Ovis aries: one gene and its partners. The protein of the gene in region 1 purifies or fractionates together with the protein of each later gene. This does not show direct contact. Links are inferred from orthologs where the notes say so. Each region holds a gene or a part of one and is shown in the gene's direction. Other genes may lie near its edges.

What was found. Proteins that work in one complex are often made in the same cells at the same time.
Region 2: the proteins of EIF3H (region 1) and EIF3I purify together in Homo sapiens (affinity purification with mass spectrometry; 7 studies listed by BioGRID and IntAct, counting the BioPlex papers as one, with this or other methods). This does not show direct contact. The link is inferred for Ovis aries from reciprocal best matches to the Homo sapiens genes EIF3H and EIF3I.
Region 3: the proteins of EIF3H (region 1) and EIF3G purify together in Homo sapiens (affinity purification with mass spectrometry; 8 studies listed by BioGRID and IntAct, counting the BioPlex papers as one, with this or other methods). This does not show direct contact. The link is inferred for Ovis aries from reciprocal best matches to the Homo sapiens genes EIF3H and EIF3G.
Region 4: the proteins of EIF3H (region 1) and EIF4B purify together in Homo sapiens (affinity purification with mass spectrometry; 3 studies listed by BioGRID and IntAct, with this or other methods). This does not show direct contact. The link is inferred for Ovis aries from reciprocal best matches to the Homo sapiens genes EIF3H and EIF4B.
Region 5: the proteins of EIF3H (region 1) and EIF3D purify together in Homo sapiens (affinity purification with mass spectrometry; 10 studies listed by BioGRID and IntAct, counting the BioPlex papers as one, with this or other methods). This does not show direct contact. The link is inferred for Ovis aries from reciprocal best matches to the Homo sapiens genes EIF3H and EIF3D.

Annotation. Positions count from the first base shown.
Region 1 is NC_056062.1:60,661,958-60,666,392, forward strand, and holds the start of EIF3H (eukaryotic translation initiation factor 3 subunit H), read left to right. Parts: upstream 1-1,575; 5' UTR 1,576-1,599; coding exon 1,600-1,731; intron 1,732-4,435.
Region 2 is NC_056055.1:235,308,472-235,312,965, reverse strand, and holds the start of EIF3I (eukaryotic translation initiation factor 3 subunit I), read left to right. Parts: upstream 1-1,562; 5' UTR 1,563-1,599; coding exon 1,600-1,602; intron 1,603-1,695; coding exon 1,696-1,788; intron 1,789-3,022; coding exon 3,023-3,110; intron 3,111-3,412; coding exon 3,413-3,478; intron 3,479-4,494. Other genes in the region: TMEM234 (transmembrane protein 234), read right to left, coding at 155-221, 1,031-1,182, 1,464-1,479. UniProt on the Homo sapiens protein: Component of the eukaryotic translation initiation factor 3 (eIF-3) complex, which is required for several steps in the initiation of protein synthesis.
Region 3 is NC_056058.1:12,527,512-12,531,948, reverse strand, and holds the start of EIF3G (eukaryotic translation initiation factor 3 subunit G), read left to right. Parts: upstream 1-1,505; 5' UTR 1,506-1,555; coding exon 1,556-1,575; intron 1,576-1,723; coding exon 1,724-1,770; intron 1,771-2,365; coding exon 2,366-2,449; intron 2,450-2,557; coding exon 2,558-2,646; intron 2,647-2,790; coding exon 2,791-2,850; intron 2,851-4,018; coding exon 4,019-4,123; intron 4,124-4,227; coding exon 4,228-4,417; intron 4,418-4,437. UniProt on the Homo sapiens protein: RNA-binding component of the eukaryotic translation initiation factor 3 (eIF-3) complex, which is required for several steps in the initiation of protein synthesis.
Region 4 is NC_056056.1:133,421,371-133,425,882, reverse strand, and holds the start of EIF4B (eukaryotic translation initiation factor 4B), read left to right. Parts: upstream 1-1,580; 5' UTR 1,581-1,782; coding exon 1,783-1,795; intron 1,796-4,512. UniProt on the Homo sapiens protein: Required for the binding of mRNA to ribosomes. Functions in close association with EIF4-F and EIF4-A. Binds near the 5'-terminal cap of mRNA in presence of EIF-4F and ATP.
Region 5 is NC_056056.1:180,582,201-180,586,485, reverse strand, and holds the start of EIF3D (eukaryotic translation initiation factor 3 subunit D), read left to right. Parts: upstream 1-1,353; 5' UTR 1,354-1,479; intron 1,480-3,990; 5' UTR 3,991-4,000; coding exon 4,001-4,123; intron 4,124-4,285. UniProt on the Homo sapiens protein: mRNA cap-binding component of the eukaryotic translation initiation factor 3 (eIF-3) complex, a complex required for several steps in the initiation of protein synthesis of a specialized repertoire of mRNAs.

The DNA of each region.
Region 1 (4,435 bases):
CCTGGGTTCGATCCCTGGGTTGGGGAGATCCCCTGGAGAAGGGAAAGGCTACCTACTCCAGTATCCTGGTCTGGAGAATTCCATGTGGGTTCACAAAGAGTTGGACATGTCTGAGCGACTTTCACTTTCACATTCTGTCCCTGAGCTTCCCATGTGGCGCTAACTATAAAGAACCCACCTGCCAATGCAGGAGATATAAGAGATGTGGGTTGGATCCCTGGGTTAGGAAGATCCCCTGGAGGAGGGCATGGCAACCCACTCCAGTATTGCTACCTGGAGAATCTCATGGACAGAGGAGCCTGGGGCTACAGCCCACAGGGTTGCAAAGAGTTCAATAGGACTAAAGCAATTTAGAACACATGCACGCATTCTGTCCCTATCACTTCTAGGCCATTTCTAGTTAGGGTTAGATTACAAGAACCCAGTGATAGGGACAGAATGACAGGATAAAATAGGTGACTAATTAGATAATCCCACAAGGGATTTTCTATAAGTAGAAAATATGGGAGACCCCTGTAAGTTAATGATTACTTGAGAAAGCAGGTTTGCCTCACCACAAAACCAAGCAGGGTTGCTTAGCAACAAAACCGAAGCAAGGGACACACCATAAACAATAAAACAAAGGTGGCAAGAGACCCACATCCTGCCCAGTGATCCCTCCGAAATGCTCTCTGCATGCGTAAAAAACTTTTGTGGACCTAGCTTGACCACACAGGGACAAGAAAACTCCCCTGCTCAGTCTGGAGGAGCTAATGATGAAAACATGATGTCTACTCAAGAAAAAGGAGGTCTTCTCCTCTTTCCCCCTTTTCCTTTGATTATAAAGCTGTAGCCAACTAGTTCTTGGGGCATGGCATTTCTTGCCCACCTGCTTGTAAGTCTCACAAGCGTTCTATTCTAATGAATCACTTTTTATCTACCACTTTGCTCTTGCTGAATTCTTCTGTGCACTGAGACATAAAGGACTATAGCACTGGAGCTCTTCAGAGTCCCCCTGAAATGACACCAATCAGTTTCACATGTAGTGTGATTAACATACATGACTGGAAAATCTTAGATATTGCCAAGGACAAAAATTGGAAAGAAATTTAAAAAAAACCCTTCAATATAAGCTCGCCATTAATGAACAGAATGATGTTTGACAAATCATGTCTCAGTTGCCAAATATGCTGTAGAAGTAAGTACAGCTCTTCATAGTTTGTCACATTGGGACTACCGATTAATTAAAAAAATTAGAAGTGAAAGCACTTTATACGAATGACGCGCTACATAAATGCTAGCTATAAAGCAATTATGATTCACTACCTAGTGCATATCGATTAAACATAAAGGGAAAAACACTTTCAAAAATTTCTTTTTGCATTTCTTAAAGCTTTCTAAACGAAAGAAGCACACACCCCTCCCCCCAAAGCACAATGCACATGCGCAAGGCGTTTCACTGCCGAAGAAAGGCTGGAAAAGAGAAGGGAGGCGGGGCTTCCCCTGCCGGCCTTTCCTAACAGCTCCGCCCCTCGAACGCCAGACTGCGCCTGACGTCAAGTGAAACTTTACTTCCGCTTCCGGCAACTCACGTTTCTCTTTCCCTGTCCGGCTGGAAAGATGGCGTCCCGCAAGGAAGGCACCGGCTCCTCCGCCGCCTCTTCCAGCTCTACCACCGGCGCTGCAGGCAAAGGCAAAGGCAAAGGAGGATCCGGAGATTCAGCCGTGAAGCAAGTGCAGATAGATGGCTTGGTGAGTGGGGTTCCTTTTCTCCCAGCCCACGTGGGTTCCCAGCCCTCAGTTCCCAGCCCGGTCTTGCCAGGCGTGCTTTCCGGCAGTCTCCCCTCTGGGCTTGCTGAAGCTGGGCCAAGGTTTTCCCGTAAAACTTTCTTTCTTTATCTTCACTTTATGTTCGGAAGACGCGGCTACCTTCTCTGCCGTCTCATCAGGGAATTGAGGACTCAGAAAGTGCACCTGGGCTCGGGTGTGTGTGTGTGACAGATTCTTGGGGGCTTGTTTTGAGATACTTGGGACAGGGTTTTTGGAGAATGACTATTGTGGGAGGCAAGTAGGTGTCGGAGGTGTCGAGAAGGATATAGAGCTTTTGGAAGGGGAGAGTAAAGTTTGTTTCCCTCTTGGGATCTGACATCTGTAACTTTCCAAGTGGAGATTAGTTTGTAGCCACTTTTGAGCCTGTGGTTCAGCGGTTACGTGAAACCGCGTTATTGGAATAAATACCTTATGTTGACTTCTTTCCCTCTCTGTGAATATTGGAGTGCCTTGGGATTTGGGTTTAGGCGTCCTTCCACCTGGTCTCTGCTTGACAAAGCAGATGAAAGCGCAACTCTGCTGTCAGACGGCCTGTCTTGAAATCCAGCGCTAAAATTAGCTGAATGACGTCGGGCATATTATTAATCTCTTCGTGCTTGGTAAGTTAAATAGTAAGAGGTGTTAACATGTACTTTTAGCTGCTGTTGTTACATTTGCAAAAGTTATAGTAGTAGACTTTCTTTAAGGCAGTCTTTTCAAGACTTTAAATATTATTTGTATTCTGATAACTCGTAGGTTTATTTCTTGTCAGACGTGGTTCTTGAATGCGACTCTTATGCATCTTGCTTGTCGCTGTTAGGATATCTCATAGGAACTTCAAACTTAATGTGTCCAAAATAAAATTTTTGACCCTTGCCCTGCTTCTCTCCCATGCATCGATCTTACCTCACTCTTTCCTATCTTAGTAAATGGAACTGCTATCTACCTGTTTGAAAAGTCAAAACCTGAGCATTAATGTATGCTTGTTCTTATTTTACCTTTGGCGTCCAGTCCCTGAGCAAATTCTGTTGGTTCTACGTCCAAAATACATCAGATTTCCTTTGCTTTTCTTCTAGATTCCACCGACCATATCCACTTAAAATAAAATGTAGAATTCTTACTCAGTCTTCAAGGCCCTGCTACTATTGTCTCTTTCTTCAGACTCATCTCATACTTTCTTCTAGGCCTCAGTCACAACTTTCAGTGTTTTATTTTCTCAGCCTGAAATACAAATATATCTTCCTACTCCGTGGCTTTTTTTGAGCCTTTAAGGTATTGGCTTAAGTGTCAGCATCTCAAGAGAGGCCTTGCCTGACTACCGTGTAAAACATAGCTTCATTCCCGTTACTCTCCCTTACATCACCTTTATTTCCTTCATAGCATTTTCCACTACTTGCAGTTGTCTGGTTTGTTTTCTTGTTTTTCTCTCCCAGTAGAATGCAAGCTACTGAGGGCAGACAGGTATTATGACTTTTCATCTGTTACGTTCCAAAACTGAATCAGTTAATTGAGATAGGATAAATTGATGAATGAAGTATTTTAGTTTCTTTTTGTAGTTCTTCCGTTTCACGTTCTGATACCTTTTTCTGTAGATTATTTTCATAGCATCTTGAATTGTTCTCTTAGCCTGCTTCAGTCCATCCTTCATACTTTTATTAAAACATGCACTTTAATGTGAAAGTTCAGACATGGTTAACTTCCCTCTTGAAATGTTTTTAGTGCCTTTGCAATGAATTCAAGGCTGACCAAGATGTCCTTGGCATTTGTGTTCAGGTTAACTTGCCACTGTTTCCATGCTTCGTAGGAATGGCTCATTCCAGCCACACAGGACTAATTTGCTTAGTCTGATGTTTAATCACATTTGTTTCTGGCACCTTGGTGATAGCCAGGGCCAGATTTCCTTTTCTTCTTGAGCCTCTCTTTTCGAACCTTTAGTTTTGTTTCATCAATCTTTAATTTTACCTTTCTCTTAACACATGGTGATTGTCAGACTTTTCCATATTAAAATGTCCAGCCCTGTCTCTTTTTACTTAGCACTTGTCGTTTATTCTTGGGCGTCCCTGATAGGTCAGTTGATAAAGAATCCACCTGCAATTCAGGAGACCCTGATTCAATTCCTGGGTTGGGAAGATCCGCTGGAGAACAGATAGGCTACCCACTCCAGTATTTTTGGGCTTCCCTTGTGGCTTAGCGGGTAAAGAATCTGCCTGCAATGTAGAAGACCTGGGTTCGATCCCTGGGTTGGGGAGATTGCCTGGAGAAGGGAAAGTATGCCCACTCCAGTATTCTGGCTTGGAGAATTCCATAGTCCATCAGTTTGCAAAGAGTTGGACACGACTGAACGGCTTTCATTTGTGTTCGTTCTTAGTCCCCACTTCTTTCCTTTGATGTCAGTGGTTAAACAATTCATCTGTATTTGTGGCCTTCCATTCTTTCTTCAACTCAGTGCTACTAGAATCTGCCATCACCAGTTTCTTGATTTAGTTTTTAAAAAGATGATTGATAACATTAGCAAAGAACTGTAAAACAACAGGATATACATGTAAAATAATGTCTTTAATACATAATTTAAGTAATCACAGAATAAGTATCCATTTACCTGCCTTTTAACTTGAGAAATGGAATTTTTAGTCTCTTTGAAGTCCTT
Region 2 (4,494 bases), on another chromosome or scaffold:
ACCAACCCTGTGCCTGGCAGCATACTCATAACCAAACCACTCTACTGCCTAGAGAAGAGGGTGCAAATATGGAACCAATCCCTCACTCATGGCAACAAGGTGTTTGAGACATTCCCTCCATCCTAAGTATAGTGGTTCTAAGCCAGAGACCCACCTGCTGATGCCAAGGTGAGGTAATAGAGAAGGGAGCCACACTGGTTGAGAGAAAAGGGCATCAGGTACTGGAAACAGAAGAAAACTGGTCAGTGTGATTGCTTATCTGAGCAGGGCTGCCTTCTTTGAGCTTTGAGATAAGCCTTTCCTTGGAGGGAGGGGTAGCTGTAAGGGCTAGGGCCCAAGCCATCTGAAAAGGACCCTTCCAGGGCAGAGGGAACATCACTGACTGAACCCCATGCCTTTGCCCTGAATGCCCTCCCCCTCAGCCCGGCTGGTTTCTGTCCTCCCCATCCTGCAAGTCCCTGAGCGCCAGTGTTCCTCTCTCCAAGAAACCTTCCCTCAGTCGCCTAGCTCCAGCCTCCCTCCTCTGAACTCACAAAGCACTTTGTCTGTACCTCACTCAAAGCCCTTACCCCTGAGAGGCAGTTGTGTCTATGACTTTCCCACCAGCCGAGACTGGCAGCACTGAGCTCAGAAGTAGTACTCTAGATTCTCCCTTATGCCCCCCTCCCCAGGGCCAATTTAAGCCCTAAGCCCTCCCTCTGGAAAAGTCTGTTGGAAGGATCACCATAATAAAATATTACTAGCTGCTCAGGGCATCAGAGACTTGAAACCTAATTATAATATGTATAAGGCCCACTGCTAACTGCTTTAGTGCCTCACCTCACTTAACCCTCACAACTGCCCCGTAAGACGGTTACCCTTATTATCCCCATTTTACAGATGACGAAACTGAGACTCAAGGCAAACAAGACTCATCCAAGAGCTTCTGGCGAGTAAGTGGTGGAGCACAGATTTTGAGCCTGATCTGTTTGACTCCAGAGACCAAATTCTTAGCTGCTACCCTCTAGAGAGGACTCATTCACAGACGCACCTCGGGATTCAAGAACAAGGTTTTCATTTCCTGCAGCAACTGCCGGGCCCAGGTCCGCTCATGAACCTGCTGCAGGCGAGAGGAGGCCCGCTTCAGCAATGGCTGTGTGCCACCCCACAGAGCGGCCACTAGCACCAGAGCCAGCACCTGCCCTGGATGGAGAGACGAGTGACATCCCCCGCCGCCCCACCGCACGGCCTTAGCCCTCCTCCGGTCTCCCATTCCCACCCCGCCGCTCCCACATCCCTTCTTTGCTCTCCGACGCCCCGGGTCTGATTGGCGGGTAGGACAGGCCCCGGGAAGCCGGGGAGATGGATCCTGGAGCCCAAGTTCGGGGTTGTAGCAAGGGTCGGGGTTAGGTGGTGGAGGAGGGAGTAAGAAATGAACTTGGGATAGCAGTCTGGAAGCGAGGGGAGGGGCGGGGCCCGCTTACCCAGGGTCGCCGCCATGGCAACGCCGATCCTCTCCACTTCCGGGAACAAAGGGGGCGGAGACTCGTAATCCGGAAGTGGCGCCAAAGCCTCTTCCGGTTCTACTCACGTTGCCGCTTTCCTCGCGTCACCGCCGGAATGGTGAGTTCTCCTGTGTTAAAGGTATTGCCGTAGGGGTCCGTGCTGGGGTAGGGGCCAATTCTGGGCGCTGACACTGCCGTCCTGTCCCCACAGAAGCCGATCCTGCTGCAGGGCCATGAGCGGTCCATTACTCAGATTAAGTACAACCGCGAGGGAGACCTCCTTTTCACGGTGGCGAAGGACCCTGTGAGCGTCGGCCGAAGGGCGGGCCCGCCGGGACCTTGCGGAGGGGGCTCGGGAGCGGGCGCGTTCATTCTCCCGGGGCGAAGGGTGGACAAGCTAGTTTTGCTGCGAGAAAAACCGAGGAGTGCCCCGTTCTGAGAAGTAGGGAGAGATCAGCCCGGGGTTTGGAGGGCAAGAGCATTACACCGATAGATGTGGGAAAGGACTCCATTGTTGATAGGAGGGAGTAGCCAGGGAGAAGAAAAGCAAGGGTACCTTGTGGAAAGGGGACGGGGACGTGGGTCATCTTGCTCATGGGGCGGAGAGGAGCTCATTCCGGGGAAGAACAAAACTATTCTACAAGGATAGGGGAACAGACCACCTGGAGAAGGGGGAAGTTGATCCTGGGGCGGCGAGGATAAAGACCTTAAAGAAGGTGTCCTTGGTATCATTTCAGTCATCCCTCTTCCTGCCACTCACTCACTGCAAACAGCCCCTTTGAGTACTGCATTTTGAGGCACCTCCATATGGAGAAAGTTAACCCTAGTGGCTAAACGTGGGGGCTGACACACCTGATTTGAATCCTGAGTCCTGTATTCACTAGCAGTGTGACTTTGAACATGCCATTTAACCATTATAAACTTTAAGAGCCCCTTTTTACAAAATATGGGTAGTAATAGTACCTCCCTCTTGGGGTTGTCTTTAGAATTAAATGAGATTATTCAAATAAAGAGCTTACTTGAATAAAGAGTGTTTGTGAGTACCATATTAATGTTAGACACATTTTAAATTCCTTAGACATTATTTTATTGGAGTCTCACAGCTACTCTTTGAAAAAGGCGTTATTGTCCTGGCCAGTTTACACGTGGGAAAACTGAAGTTCAGAGGGGAAAAGCACACATTTCAATAATACAGTGAGATAGTAGCAGAGCAGGGACTGGAACCTAGGTTTCTCTCCTACCAACGGCTCCTGTTTGGACAGAACACCAAAACACTACTCTTTTGCTAGGCTGATACTCAGCTTGACCTTTTATTCCTCAAAGGGTTTAGGAGTCTGGGGAAAGGCTGGTATGATGGAGACTTTTTCGCAAGCAGGAGGAGAATCCAGGAGTTGGTCTTTTTACCAGCAACCTGCTGTTCCCCAAGAGATGAGCTGGGGAGGGTCGAATCTGGCCTGGCTAGAAGCTTCTGGGGCAAAATAGGCCATGGCTCTGCCCACAATGCCTATCATCCTGTCACATTGTCCTTGATCCTCCAGATTGTCAATGTATGGTACTCTGTGAATGGTGAGAGACTGGGCACCTACATGGGCCATACCGGAGCTGTGTGGTGTGTGGACGCTGACTGTATCCTTATCTTTGTTCTGAGTCTGTGCTACCAGGGTCTGCCAGCAATGGAGAAGCTGCTGACCTGAAGCTGAGAGTTTGAGATGCTCTGGTGGGGTCTGGAGAATGATGCTACCTACCTCCTACTCCTTGGTCTGTTCACTATTTCGGGGAACATTTAGGACAGGTTCCAGTTCTGAATGAGGAGGTTAGGATGAGAGAAGGAAGGCTCTCTGGTGCTGAATAGGGAGATGATTCACTTGGCCTTCCAAGAGGACAAGGACTCAGGTGAATTCTGTTATGCTTCTTAACACCCTCTTCAGGGGACACCAAGCATGTCCTCACTGGCTCAGCTGACAACAGCTGTCGTCTCTGGGACTGTGAAACAGGTAAGCCTGGATCCTGCACTTTTTCAGCAAACAGTGAGGACCTACAATATACTTATTGAGGTCAACAGGTTCTGGGGAAATAGAGATAAAACCAGAGATGGTTCCCAGTCTAGGGAAAAAGAGACAAGAAAATCAGGAGACAGAGATGAAAAGAGGCACTCCAGTGAGATATAAGCCTTGTTAGAGGTAGCACAGTGCACTATGAAAGCTGAGGGGGAGGCACCTGAAGCCTGAAATGGGGATGGGATCAGCCCGGGAAGGCTTCCCAAAGCAAGTGTCATGTGAGGCGATAGCTGTGGCAGATGCAAGAGTGGAAGCACAGCAAGTGGCACGTCCAAGTCATCTGATCTGGCAGGAGCTCCTGCTTCTCGGGGGTGAAACAGACAGCAGTGGAGAAGCTGAGGCAGGCTAGGGCCAGACGGGCCTTGAATGTGAGCTCAGGAACATGACTGTTCTGTAGGACTTCATGCTGGGGAGGGTCCTGAGCAGGGAAGAGCCTGTTCAATTCTTTTTTTTTTTTTTAATTTTTGGCCACACCCTGTGGCAACTGGGATCTTAGTTCCCTGACCAGGGATTGAACCCACACCCCCTGCATTGGAAGGCAGAGTCTTAACCACTGCTGGGGAAGTCCCCAAGCATGTTTAGCTTTGGCAAGCCCAGGTAGCAGTGGGGAACATTGCAGGAACAGACAGAAGACAGGGGAGCCTATTGAACGGCTCCATTTAGGAAATATTTTCTGGGTACCCAGATCTCTCCCAGGTCTTTGCTGGGCACTGGTGACATGCAGAGAAGTTAGAGCAGGTCTTTGCTATGGAGAAGCACATTCTCCAGAGGTGGAGACAGATACAATGTCGTCCGTTGTGAGTGCCACAGTGGCGGGATGTCTGAGGAGGGACTGTGTGGAGAAGTTAAAAGACCTGACCCAAACCACAGCAGCGAGGGAAGAAGACGGGCGGGGGGGCTAGAGTCACCAGTGCAGGAGGAACAGTGCATTGTAATGGTGGGCGGGGGTTAGA
Region 3 (4,437 bases), on another chromosome or scaffold:
ACCACCAGGAATTCCCAACCACCCTCTTTATTTACTTATTTTCCCAGCCTCCTTCCTGGTCTGCTGATTTATTCCTTTCCACCCTATCCTCTACAGGCTTCCAGAATAATCTTTCTCACAAGAAAATCTGGTCACATTGGGTCACCATTCAGAACATGTCAGCGCCTCACTCACACCCCACAGCCTGCAGGATAAAGAGCCTGTGCTGGGAATTCCCTGGTGGTCCAGTGGCTAAAACTCTGTGCTCAAGATACAGGGTGGCTGGGTTTGATCCTTGGTCAGGGAACTAGTTCCCACGTGCCACAACTAAGACTCTATGCAGCCAAATAAATAAAAATAAATATTTTTAAAAATGTTATATATGTTATATATATATACATGTATATATATGTAATATATATATAAGAGACTATGATCTTTAGTCTAGTTTTTAAAGTCCTTTATAATCTGGTTCCTGTCGGTTCCAAATACCCATGAATTGAGCACTTATCAAGTGTAGACACCCTGAGGGTGCTGGGGACCCAGAAGTGAACAAAGCAGGCAAATGTGTTTCTGCAGAAGTCTGCAGCAGTTTTTACCATTTTTTTCATTATCATCCCTCTAAAGGAGAAAAATGGAATTATCTTCCATTTAAATCAGTGTTAATCTAATTACATTTAATTTCTCCCTAACAATAGAAATTAAATGTTTAGAAATAAGATTTTGTCTGGGAGGGTTGGCTTTGGAGGCCACAAGTCATTGTCATCTCCAAGTTGGTTTTTTTTTTGTTTGTTTCTTTTTTGCCACAGAACAATTAATTTTGGTCCCCTTGGGAGTCATATCACTCCCACTGAGAATGCATACAGTAGAGGGAACGCTGGACAATAAGCAATAAATTAAAGAAAATGGAAAAGATTATATCAGGGAGCCAAGAATGTTACTAGGAATTCCCCGGTGGTCCAGTGGTTAAGACTCTGCACTTCCACTGCAGCGCCCAGTTCTGATACCTGGTTAGGGAATTAAGATTCTGCAAGCCTCACAGTGCGGGGGGGGGAGTTACTCAAGGAGGGAGAATAGTTAGGGGGTGACTTGATATCTTGATCATTTGAATCAGAAAAGTTATTTCCAGGCAAGGAAGACCAGTTTTGGTTTCTTCAGCTGAAAAATGGAAACGATAATTTCCTCCTCACAGTTCCTGCAAACAGTCAGAGCTATATAATTGAGCTTTATTGTCATTATTTTTAATTTTTAAAAAAAGTAAAAGAAAAGGTCCGGTGGTTAAGATTCAGTGATCCCAATGCAGGCCCTCCTGGTCCAGGAACTAGATCCTACATGCCGCAACTAAGACCCAGCGCAGCCAAATAAATAAATAAATAAATAAGATTTTCAGGTAAATGAGCCGAGCCTCTAATAGTAAGATACCAGGGCCCAGCCTCTCACATAGGCGGCGCTTCTACCTCCGTCCGTAGGGGGCGCTGTGGAGTGCTACGGCTGCTCTAGGCAGCGGAGCCGGAAGTCTCTTTCACCTCTTACTTCCGGTCTTTGGCCCAGGCTTGGGCTGCGTGGAGATTTTGCGATGCCGACCGGAGACTTTGAGTGAGTCAGGGGTCGTGGAGGGGGTTTGGTAAGCAGACCGGGGATGGGGGGCGGTCCTAGGAGTTAATATAGAGCCTGGGTGCGTTGAGGCCGCGGGAGCTGGGCCTCGCCTCACTCATCCCTCCTTTTGACAAACTTGTCCCCGCAGTTCGAAGCCCAGTTGGGCGGACCAGGTGGAAGAGGAAGGAGAGGACGGTGAGTCTACCTTGTCGCCTCGGATCACCGCAGCCCGGCCTCCCCCCGCCGCCCCAGGCCGTCACTGCTGCCTGCTCTGATCCTCCACCCTGGCACCGCCGTCAGACCCTGCATCTCCCCTCACAGCCAGCCCCTGCCCCGCGCCACTCTCATCTGGGCCAGCCTATCTCCAACTCCATACGTTCACCAGCCAGCCCATCTTCTGCCGTGCCACCGCCCAAGTCCTTGATGCCAGCACTTCTGCTTCCCTGCTCCTGGCAGGAAATTGTTTAACAGCCACACTCCTGCCTTTGTATTAATACTATTGCCCGGATGCCTGTGGCCCTCCCCTTCCCTCAGGCCCTCAGGCCCTCAGGCCCTCAGGCCAAGGATCCCCTTCCCCTTCTCATTGCTGGAAGTTACTACCGGCCAGCTCCGTGTCCCTGAATGGCTATCCCAAGACACTTCCTGGCCAGTCCTCTGCCCTTGGTCCCACCTTTCTCAGCTCCTGGTGCAGGCATCATCCCAAAGGTCCCTTGATTTCAGCTTGGGAGTTCCTGTCGCTGCCCACCCCTACCCCCCAGCTGACCCCTGCTCCCTCCACTCCCTGTCACAGACAAATGTGTCACCAGCGAGCTCCTCAAGGGGATCCCCCTGGCCACTGGGGATACCAGTCCAGAGCCTGAGCTATTGCCGGGAGGTGAGTGCCCGACTTCACTCCAGCCCTGGGCCGTCTCTCTCCCCAGCCTCCTTCCTTCTGGTCCCTATTACCCAGGGCTCAGTTCCTTTGTCTCTTCCTCTCTCCCAGCTCCACTGCCACCTCCCAAGGAGGTCATCAATGGAAACATCAAAACAGTGACGGAGTATAAGATAGATGAGGATGGCAAGAAGTTCAAGGTGAGGCTGGGGAAGAGGTGGGAGCCCTTTGCTTGAGGGGCACTTGGACTAGGGAGAGAGTGGTGTGTTGGATGTCTTGATGAGGAAGATCTGCTAGGAACCTTGAGGAGCAGAAGGCCCAAACGTTTCCCCTCCTATCCACAGATCGTCCGCACCTTCAGAATTGAGACCCGGAAGGCCTCAAAGGCTGTGGCAAGGAGGAAGGTAAGACCCTTCTCCCCCTTCCTTGGGGGCTCCTCCAGGGCTGACTCAAAGAAAAAATAGGAGTTCTTTTCCCTATTGCCTTCATTTTTAGAAGTGGGGTTTAACTGTTTGTTAAACAATTTCCTGGTGGCTTCCCTGGTGGCTCAGTGGTAAAGAATCTTCCTGCAATGCAGGAGATGCTGGTTCATCCCTGGGTCAGGACGGTACCCTGGAGAAGGGGATGATTACCCACTCCAGTGTTCTTGCCTGGAGAATTCCATGGACAGAGGAGCCTGGTGGGCTATAGTCCATAGGGTCGCAAAAAGTTAGACATGATTGAGAGACTGATGCTTTTTTGTTTCTTTCTAATTGTTTGGTTGCACCACACAGCATGTGGGATCTTAGTTCCCCGAGCAAGGCTTGAAACCACACCTTGTGCATTGAGAGTGCGGAGTCTTAACCACTGGGCCACCGGGGAAGTCCCCTGGGTGTACCTCTTCTGTTGGAGCAGAACTGAGGCCTGTGTGCAGTCCGTGGGGGCCCTGAAAAGTCCAGCAGGTGCAGGAGTGGGAGCGGAGGGGTTGGTTCTTACTTCTCTCGGCTTGTCGCCTGGGAGGAACAGAGCCAAAGCCCTCCTGTGAGGTGGTCGTAGCAGCAGAAGTGATGGCAGTAAATACGTTTTGCACAGTTACCTACATACTCGGTGTTAGACTCAGGTGCTTCGTGGGAAGTATTTTCTCATTCATTCCCCTAGCATTCCAGGGAGGTGTGGGGAGCATTGTGGTCCCTTATAGGGGAGGATGCCAAGGTACAGGTTGTTTAAGGAGCTCAAGGCCCCTGGAAATCTGGGTGATCCTGCACACCCCTGAGTATCACTCGGTGGAAGCTGGTCAGCCCCTGCCAGGGGTTGTTGGCTCTGGACCTGTTTACCCCTGAGCCTCAGTTTTCTCATCTGTAACATGAGGCTGAGAGCTGCCCCTACTCTTGGAGCTGGCATGGAGCTGGGGCCTGGCATGCCCTCAGGGAATAGCAACTGTCATCATCGCTTCTCCAAGGAGCATTTGAGGGCGGTGAATAGGGTTCAAGACTCACTCACCCTCAAGGTGGCTCTTGTTAAGTCTAGGGTGCAAATGGAGGGGGTCCCACTTGTCCTTGCCCTGACCTGTCCCCCATCCTGCCTTGAGCTCAGAACTGGAAGAAGTTTGGGAACTCAGAATTTGACCCACCGGGGCCCAACGTAGCCACCACCACAGTCAGCGATGATGTATCCATGACATTCATCACCAGCAAAGAGGTAAGTGTGGTGGCTGGCAGGGGGAGCCAGTGGCCAGGGTGTTACTGGAGGCAGCAGGGGAGCAGCTGAACTACCGTCTGAACTGCCACCACCTGCCCTGCCAGGATCTGAACTGCCAGGAAGAGGAGGACCCAATGAACAAGCTCAAGGGCCAGAAGATAGTGTCCTGCCGAATCTGCAAGGGTGACCACTGGACCACCCGCTGCCCCTACAAGGACACGTTGGGGCCCATGCAGAAGGAGCTGGCCGAACAGCTGGGCCTGTCCACTGGCGAGAAGGAGAAGCTCCCCGGAGGTGCCAGGACCTTGGGATAT
Region 4 (4,512 bases), on another chromosome or scaffold:
CCACATGCCATGGGGCAATTCAGCCCATGCTCTGCAACAAGAGAAGCTACCATGTGCTGCAACTAGAGAAAGCCTACAGGCTGCAAGGAAGACCCAGTGCAGCAAATAATGTTAACACTGTTTAAAAGGAGAAAAGGGCCTATGAAGGCAAAAGTGCTTAGGGTCCATGAAGACATTATGAGGTCCTGGCACCAAGAACCTTTTAACTGATCTTTCTTTTCCATCAGTGCAGGTGTATAACCCACTCTCCATCCAGTAAACTGAGTAATCCTGTTGTTGTCATCACTGTTGTTTAAAGTATGACCTCTATACACTAAGCGCACAATTCTTGAGTGTACAATCTGAGGTACTTAAATATACACTTATGTAACCATCACCCATATCAAGATAGTAAGTAACCCTTTACAAAACTATTTCAAGTCCTCACACTCCCCTGCATAAAATCTTTCCACGCTTTCCCAGTCCACTTGGAATAAAATCCAAACTCCTAAACCTGATTCACAGAGCCTCACATGATTGAACCCCAACATATTTCTCAAACCTCATCTTTTACCGCCCACCCCCCTTCCGGTCACCAAACTGAGACTCAAACTTGCCAACATGTTCCTGTCCTGGAGCATTTGATCTAGTTCCTCAGGGGGTTGGCTCTCTGTAACTCAGATCTCAGTTCACATGTCGCTTCCTCAGAGGCCTTCCCTGACCATGCAATTTAAGTTGCACAAAATCAGTTTTATCAAATTACCTTAATTACCTCTAGAGTGCTTAACATTTCTAATATTTCATTTAATTACTGCTTATTGTCTGTCTTTCCCTCACTGAATTATATAACATGCTTTGGAGTTTTATTCTCCAGTTATACCCAAAATGCCAATAAAAGCGCCTGACACGTGGTAGGAGTGCAAAGCAAATTTTCATTGAATGAACTACTACCTATGGGGTTTCCCTGGTGGCTTATTGGTAAAAGATCGTTCTTCCCATGCAGGAGACGTGGATTCCATCCCTGGATGGGGAAGATCCCTTGGAGAAGGAAATGTCAACCTACTCCAATATTCTTGCCTGGGAAATTCCATGGACAGAGGAGACTGGCGGGCTACAGTCCACCGGGTCTCAAGGACAACCTGGCAACAAGAGGAAGCGCAGATAGCATTAGACGGTGAAATCCTAAGGGCCTGAGTTTGAATTTAGTTTGCAAAACGAAGGATTAAAAGACTTTTAGTAAAAGACCATGGCAAGTAAGTGATGAATGTTACCTTCTTTTCCTTCTAAACATCCCCAATTAAAACCATCCTTAAGCAGAATGGTGGTTTATTTTGCTTTAACAAAAAGCGATTTACAAAGAAACTCAGAATCTTCCCAGGAAACCAATTGGGGCACGCCAATTCTGGATTCCAGCCCGCCTCCAATCGGTGCCAGAGAGGTGGAACTTGACAACGCCGCACCACCCCTTCCGTTTACCGCACAGGCAGGAAGTCTGCGGCTCAGGAGACCCCGCCCCAGGCTGAGACCTGCCCCTTGTCCGCGCGTCGCCCTACGTAAAGCGTGAGGGGTTTCGCGACAGCGCAGGCCCCACCCCTTTGGCCACATGTCGCGCAGGTCTTCCCGTCGGATGCCGCGTCACCTCCTCGCGCTGCTTTACGAACCTAGAGGAGCGCCGCCCCGCCTCCTGTGTCCCTCCTTAATTCCCCGACCCCTCCCAGTTTCGCGTCTCCTAGCCCGACGCGCTCGCTCTAATCACGTGACTGCCTCATCCGGGTCCTTTGCGTTCTCTCTCCCTCTCCCAACATGGCGGCCTCAGGTGAGTGAGCGGCCGAGTGCGGCCAAGGACCAGGCTCCGAAGCGACTCTCCGAGCCTGATCCACTGATTCTTCGGAGTCGGGGGGTGGGCGGCACCTCTTCCCTTCGGATTTTGGGGCTGCGGCAGGCTGGCGGCTGGGCCATGTTAGGTTATTGCCTCGGGATGTTTGGGGGGAGGGGAAGGACCTTCCCCTCCCCCCTCACACCCTTTTCACCCCATCTGCGCGAGGTTGGACTGGGGAGTAATGGTAGACTCTGGCTTGAGTTGGAGTGAGGAGGAGGCGCAGAAAGATCAGCGGGAGATGTAGGCCTTCTCATAGACGTGAAGCAGTGTGCCCGCGTGAAAGCGTGGAGGAAGGAAGGAGGCGGTTGGCGCGCGGACGGGTGCACTCTGAACTAGGTCTCCAAGGCGCGAGGCCGTTGCGGACGGGAGTGGGGGCAGGGAATAAAGGGGGGGCAGTTAGAACCCGAGCGCGAGTCGCTGGAGGGGCGGAGGAAGGTGGCGGTGCGCGTGCGCGGTCGGAGAGCCTAGGGTACTGGAGACTGGCGCGCCTGAAAAGCACGCGCGAGAGTCCAGATGGGAAGGTTTTACTCGCCTGTGTTGCTTTCTCTTTAGGTCCTTCCACTTTTTGCTCTTCCCCTTCTAGAGTGTGATCCGGCCCCTATGTTCTTCCAAGGGTAAATGTATTAGGTTTGGAGGTTGGCGCTGCTAGAGTTAAGACGGGGGTAGGGAATCCGGTGTGATGCGCCCACGTGTTGGAGGAGAGGAAACAGGGTGGAGACCTAGATTTCTTCTGGACTTTTTCTTACTCAGTCAACACAGTTTTACTTGAGTGTGAACTGTATATTTGTCAGGCATGCTTCTGGATATTGGGGATCCAGTGGTGACCAAGATCAGAGCCCTTGACAGCTTCCGTTTTGGTTGAGTTTTGATAGCCGCAGCAGTAGGGTAGGGCCTTTTTCTTTTAGGGTAACTGCACAACTGCTAGGAGTTGCTTTTAGAAGAATACTAGTGGCTGGAGTTGAATTCTTGTTTAGAATGAGAGGAAATATCACTTTCATGTAAGTCTGCCTGCACTTCTGATGGACTTAGTAGAGAGTTGTGCCAACATTTTGTCAACAGTGATTTTAGAATGGGGGATATGATCTCTTTTCCCTGGTGTGAGCCTACATTGTACAAAACATTTGTTGAACGACTTATCTCTGAACACTGATTTCTCACCAAGAATTTCTCTTCTCTCTTACATAGAGATGTATGCCTTTGGAAAATATTGAGGAAATTAACGTGCAGTTGAGCATAATACCTTTCACTAGCGTAGCACTTGACAATTGACCTGGCACTTTTCTGTGTGTGGTCTAATTTGATGTTCTGTGAGATAGGCAGATGTTGGTTATCTCCTGTGTGAGGAATATGAAAATTACTCGTTCAAGGTCACTATCTGCAGATGGCAGAGTAAGGTTGCAATCTTTGAAACTTCTCGTTCTTCTCCCATTATCAACTTGGGACTAACAAGGTTGGTTTATCATCATAAGTTTGGGATGCTGCCCAGGAGCTTCATCTGAAGTATTTTGGCCTGAATTTGCCGTCCTGGTGTCTCAGTGTCATAATTAGTGAAAAGCCTGTTTTCCTTTTCTGTATAACTTGTGTGGAATTTTTTTAGAGGTGAAAGACGCCGATAGCATTGTGTAAATAAAGTCCAGACTAGTAAAACAGATGTGCTTAGTGAGGTCTCTTCTTCCACTCTACCCAATTGGAAGCCCTCATCTCCTTTAATACAGTTACATGAATCTTTTAGCTTGTGTAATACATATAAGGGACACTTATGCTGGGGTACAATGGTACATCTGACAGCCCTTGAGAAATTATCAAATTTCTTTCCCCACTTTGGATCTTTTCCCATTGTATTGATTTGGTATATAATTATATTAATACAGGCCCACTGTGTTAATGGGTCTATAAAATTAATCTATTTTCAATATACTTCTTGATGGCCCCTGAAAAAACATCTTATATTTTCTTTGTGAAGAAACATGATAAAACTTAACAGGCCTTTTACTTTTTTTTTTAATTAGAGGAAAATTGCTTTACAATGTTGCGTTGGTTTCTGCTGTACACAGGTGAAACAGCTATAACTGTACATATATCCACTCCCTTTTACTTTTAAATGAAACCAAAAAATTCTTTGCAATAATACAGTATCCAGTGTGACTAATTACTGAACTTCAAGAACTGGAGGTGTCCCAAAGCTAACTATTGCATCTGTGTCCTTACCTATAGGGGATCAAATGTGTTTGACATGGGTTAGTGGTTTGTGAGACTAGACTGCCTTGGGATTGTTAACAGTGTACCTGTGTGCACACAAGGCCTTTTATTTGCATAACACTTCAGAATGCCATTATATGTGGCATCTTGTTTGATTATTTTTTATGGTAAGATAGTGTCCAATGGTGGTTTTCATAGAGTGCTGACTCCTATAGTTAAAAACGGTTTCACTGGTTGCTATTATATGCAGTTCATGTATTACCTATCTTCATACCCCTTCCTGTACCATATGTTTGTTACTCTGGGAGTAAGATACCCAGATTCAGAAGGTGAAAGTTAAAATGGCTTATGAAAATTTAAGTACAAATACAAAGAGAAGTATCAAGGTAAAACACTGTATTTCTAAGTAATGCCACTTTTAAAGAATGTATAAGTCACATACCATGTATGTATCA
Region 5 (4,285 bases), on another chromosome or scaffold:
AAAGCTCAACATTCAGAAAACAAAGATCATGGCATCTGGTCTCATCACTTCATAGCAAACAGATGGGCAAACAGTGGAAACAGTGTCAGACTTTATTTTGGGGGGCTCCTAAATCACTGCAGATGGTGACTGCAGCCATGAAATTAAAAGACGCTTACTCCTTGGAAAGGAAGTTATGACCAACCTAGATAGCATATTCAAAAGCAGAGACATTACTTTGCCAACAAAGGTCCGCCTAGTCAAGGCTATGGTTTTCCAGTGGTCATGTATGGATGTGAGAGTTGGACTGTGAAGAAAGCTGAGCATCGAAGAACTGATGCTTTTGAACTGTGGTGTTGGAGAAGATTCTTGAGAGCCCCTTGGACTGTAAGGAGATCCAACCAGTCCATTCTGAAAGAGATCAGTCCTGGGTGTTCTTTGGAAGGAATGATGCTAAAGCTGAAACTCCAGTACTTTGGCCACTTCATGCGAAGTTGACTCATTGGAAAAGACTCTGATGCTGGGGAGGGATTGGGGGCAGGAGGAGAAGGGGACGACAGAGGATGAGATGGCTGGATGGCATCACCTACTTGAAGGACGTGAGTTTGAGTGAACTCCGGGAGTTGGTGATGGACAGGGAGGCCTGGCGTGCTGCAGGACAAACTCCGTAGGCTGAGTTTCCAAAAAGACAGCACCGTTGCCATCGTAGCCAGGTGGTTCCTGAGTCGCCACTTCAGAATCACCACCAATTAAAATGCAGGTTTCTGGGCTCCAGCTAAGCCACGCTTGTATAACAGTCTATGGAAGGGGACCCGGAATCTTCATTTTTCAAATTAGCTCTCCAGGAATCTTTGTCAAACAAGAAAGTCTGAGAACTGTGGAGGTATGGTTTGAACACTGGCAGCGACCTCCGACACTAGTAGTCTGATCTACTCAGGTCACTTTGCACCTCCTGGTCTGTTTCCGAAAGCGCTCAAAGCTCAGCGAGTAGCCGCAAAAACCTGCCTGAAAGACTCGAACTCCCCCTAACGGTGAAACTCAAACAACACGATCTTTTAAAGAAGGCAGAAGCCGCGGGTCGTTGTGGGATACAGAGGGCCAGAGCGGCCCGCAAGGCATTGTGGGACATAGAGGGGCTTTCAGCCAGTCGCCGCTTCCAACTCCAACTACAAGGCCGCCACGTTTCAAGAAACTTGAAACTCTCGGAGTGTCGCCGGATGCCCCATGACGTAACTGTAAACATCCTCGAAGGCTAAATAAGAACACCGCGAAGAGAACAGGGACGAACTTCCGGATGTGCCTTCGCTTTACGACTCGCGTGTTCCGCCGTCGAACCGGAAGGAAGCCAAGAAGCAGTTTACGACACCGTCGGTCGTATTTACGGTGCCGGCCGCTGCGCGCGCATGTTTCCTCCTTTCCCGGTTCCCCGTAGCTCAGGCGGTGGCGCGGTATTCGGCCTAGACTATCTCTCACCATCGGGGCCGGTTACGGCCGTTACAGGTAAGCAGCGTATTCCGTACGCTTCCGCGGATCTCCAGAGCAGAGTTGAGCTGCGCCTGGCCTTCGGGGGCCTGCCGGAAGAGACTTCCGTACGCCCCCTCCTGCTTCCCTGTACCTCCGCTGGGAGGGGCAGGAATCCGCCTTCGGTCCCCCCAGGTCCGACCCAGTGCGGGGCAGAGCCTGTGGTTGAGGTCTCTTTCCGTGGAGTCCGCTTAGCGGCCACCGACAGTGTGTTCTGATGTGAACATGTCATTAACCCCGCTGAGTCTCAGGGTCTTTTAAAGTGCCCCACGGTTCCCTGAGCTTCTACGAGAGGGCTATTGGGTGTGCCAAACTGAGCGATGTTCGGCCCTGCTCTGAGGAGTTCACCGTCTAAATGTTTCTTTTCCTTGCCTATGAAATGGAAGGCTAGGATGTAGTTGGTTGATCTCTGATTTGACATTAACCGCCCAGGAATTGGCAAACGATCTGCAGTAACCTGCCAGCCACAAGGTTCTCCCTATGACTGTCCTGTTGATGCCGCCCCATCCTTTATCTGTAGCCAGTACAGCTGTCACTCCGTTTCAACTGAAAGATTTAGTTTCCCCTGTTGGTTACATTGTACTCTGCCTACTTTTTAGTTTACGCGTTGAAACCAAGCGACTTCCTTCCGCCCCTTTTAAAGTGTGTTTGGAGATATCTCACTGTGTTATTGATATGATCTGAAACCCAGGATCTTTTCAGGCTGCTGTCCAGCTGTAAAATAATGGGAAGAGTGTTACACTTAAGACAGAGGACCCTAGAAACCAAGTCTATCTTGAAATGATGAGATCAGCTGCTTGATTTGGCTGAACTGTGTATTTTTTTTTTAATCTGAAATTGGGGCCTAGGGGTTTAGTGGTGTTGCATCTGACATGTTGTAGGACCCTGGTAATATATAAGGGTATATTGTTTTGAGACCACCACACTCTCCCTCAGTCCGCTTCCTGTAGTGTAATTTAAGTTTAGGTAGGAGGATGGGGCTTCCAGGTTCATGCCCTTTTGGATCACGCAAGTGTCACCTCTAGGAACTCTCCCCATCATGGGAAAATGAAGAGAGTTTCATAAATTTAGTATTCTTTGCTCTTTGATTGATACAACTGAGCGACTTCACTTTCACTTTTCACTTTCATGCACTGGAGAAAGAAATGGCAACCCACTCCAGTGTTCTTGCCTGGAGAATCTCAGGGACAGGGGAGCCTGGTGGGCTGCCATCTATGAGGTCGCACAGAGTCAGACATGACTGAAGTGACTTAGCAGCAGCAGCTCTTTGATTGCTCCCCAGACTCTGGAAATATTTGTGTGGTGAATTTTCCCCTGGGAACTCAGCTTCTGGGCATTTTCAGGGGATTAGAATGGATGATAAATGCATGCATGAGTTTTGGGGAGGAATTGTTTGGCAGATATCTGTCGAGCCCCTGGTTTTTACTCTTCCTGAGCGGAGTACTGGCCTTACACAAAGTGTGGACTCTGAAGCCAGTTTCCCAGGGTTCAGATTTTCATCCATTAGTGTTGCAACTTTGGGCGATTTCTTGATATCTCTGTGCCTCAGTTTTCTTCTCTGGAAAGTGGGGCTAATACTGGCCCTACCTCGGGAGGAGATTGTTGAGGAGTTAATGAATTAATGTGTGGAAAGCGCTAACAACATGCCTGGTACTCATAATGTTTATGAACATTGGCTGTGTTCGGCCACTTTCATGACATAAGGCTTCTGGCTTCCTCAACCTTCTGCTGGGCTTTCTGCCTGACTTCTATGCCCTGCATAAGAATTTACACTGACAACAGAAAATTGAAAGAACAACAAAGGAAGGTTGCATTTCAGGATACATTCATGGACCCTTGTTTTTTCTCGGCACTGTGTGTAAATGTATTTTTGTAAGACAGAATAGTAAGTGTCTGGCGTTTTACAATGGAACTATTTCTGCTTATGTTAACTAATATATACAGCTTTCACAGTGATCCTCTGATGGGAATAAAACAAGGATCTTATTATTTTTCAGGTAAAGAGACTGAGGTTTAGGGGAATTAAATATTGTATGTCTGGTAAAGGTGTGAATGAAAACTGGAACCTGGTTATTAAACTCAAAAAAAAGTTAATTACATTTCATCAAGTCTGTAAGACATCACTGAATTCAAGAAGCACAATATCTTCATGTAACACTAAGAAAGAAAAGTTGCCAGATACGGTATGACACCTCATCAGTTAGAAGGTGCAGGTTCATGTCAGAGATAGTACAGTGGGAAAAAACAAATGGTGAGATATGATACATAAATTTGGTGAGCAGTCGTCTGAGTTTTAAGTATTCACAGTCTTATTCACAAGAAGATGGTAAGTGGAGAGTAGCTCAGCAGTTGAGGGTTCTGTTCTGTGTTTTGCTTTTTTAACTTTATCCTGTATTAGCTTACCTCAAATGGAAGACTTCGGGTTTTTTTGTTTGTTTGTTTTTTAGAGGCTTTTCTTCATGGAGTTACTTTGTTATTTGTATTTTTAAGGTTTTAAAAGATGGCAAAGTTCATGACACCCGTGATCCAGGACAACCCCTCAGGCTGGGGTCCCTGTGCAGTTCCGGAGCAGTTTCGGGATATGCCCTACCAGCCGTTCAGCAAAGGAGATCGGCTCGGAAAGGTGCCTGCCTGTCAGCGGGGTCTGAATCTTTTAAAGCTGCAGCTGATGCTCCAAGTTCATTTCAATTTTATTCTCTCAAAAGGATAATGGTTAGAAGCTCTGGCTACTTCCAGTGGTCATAGGAGAGCTGGGCTCTTACGAAGCTATCCTGAGCCAGTCTTT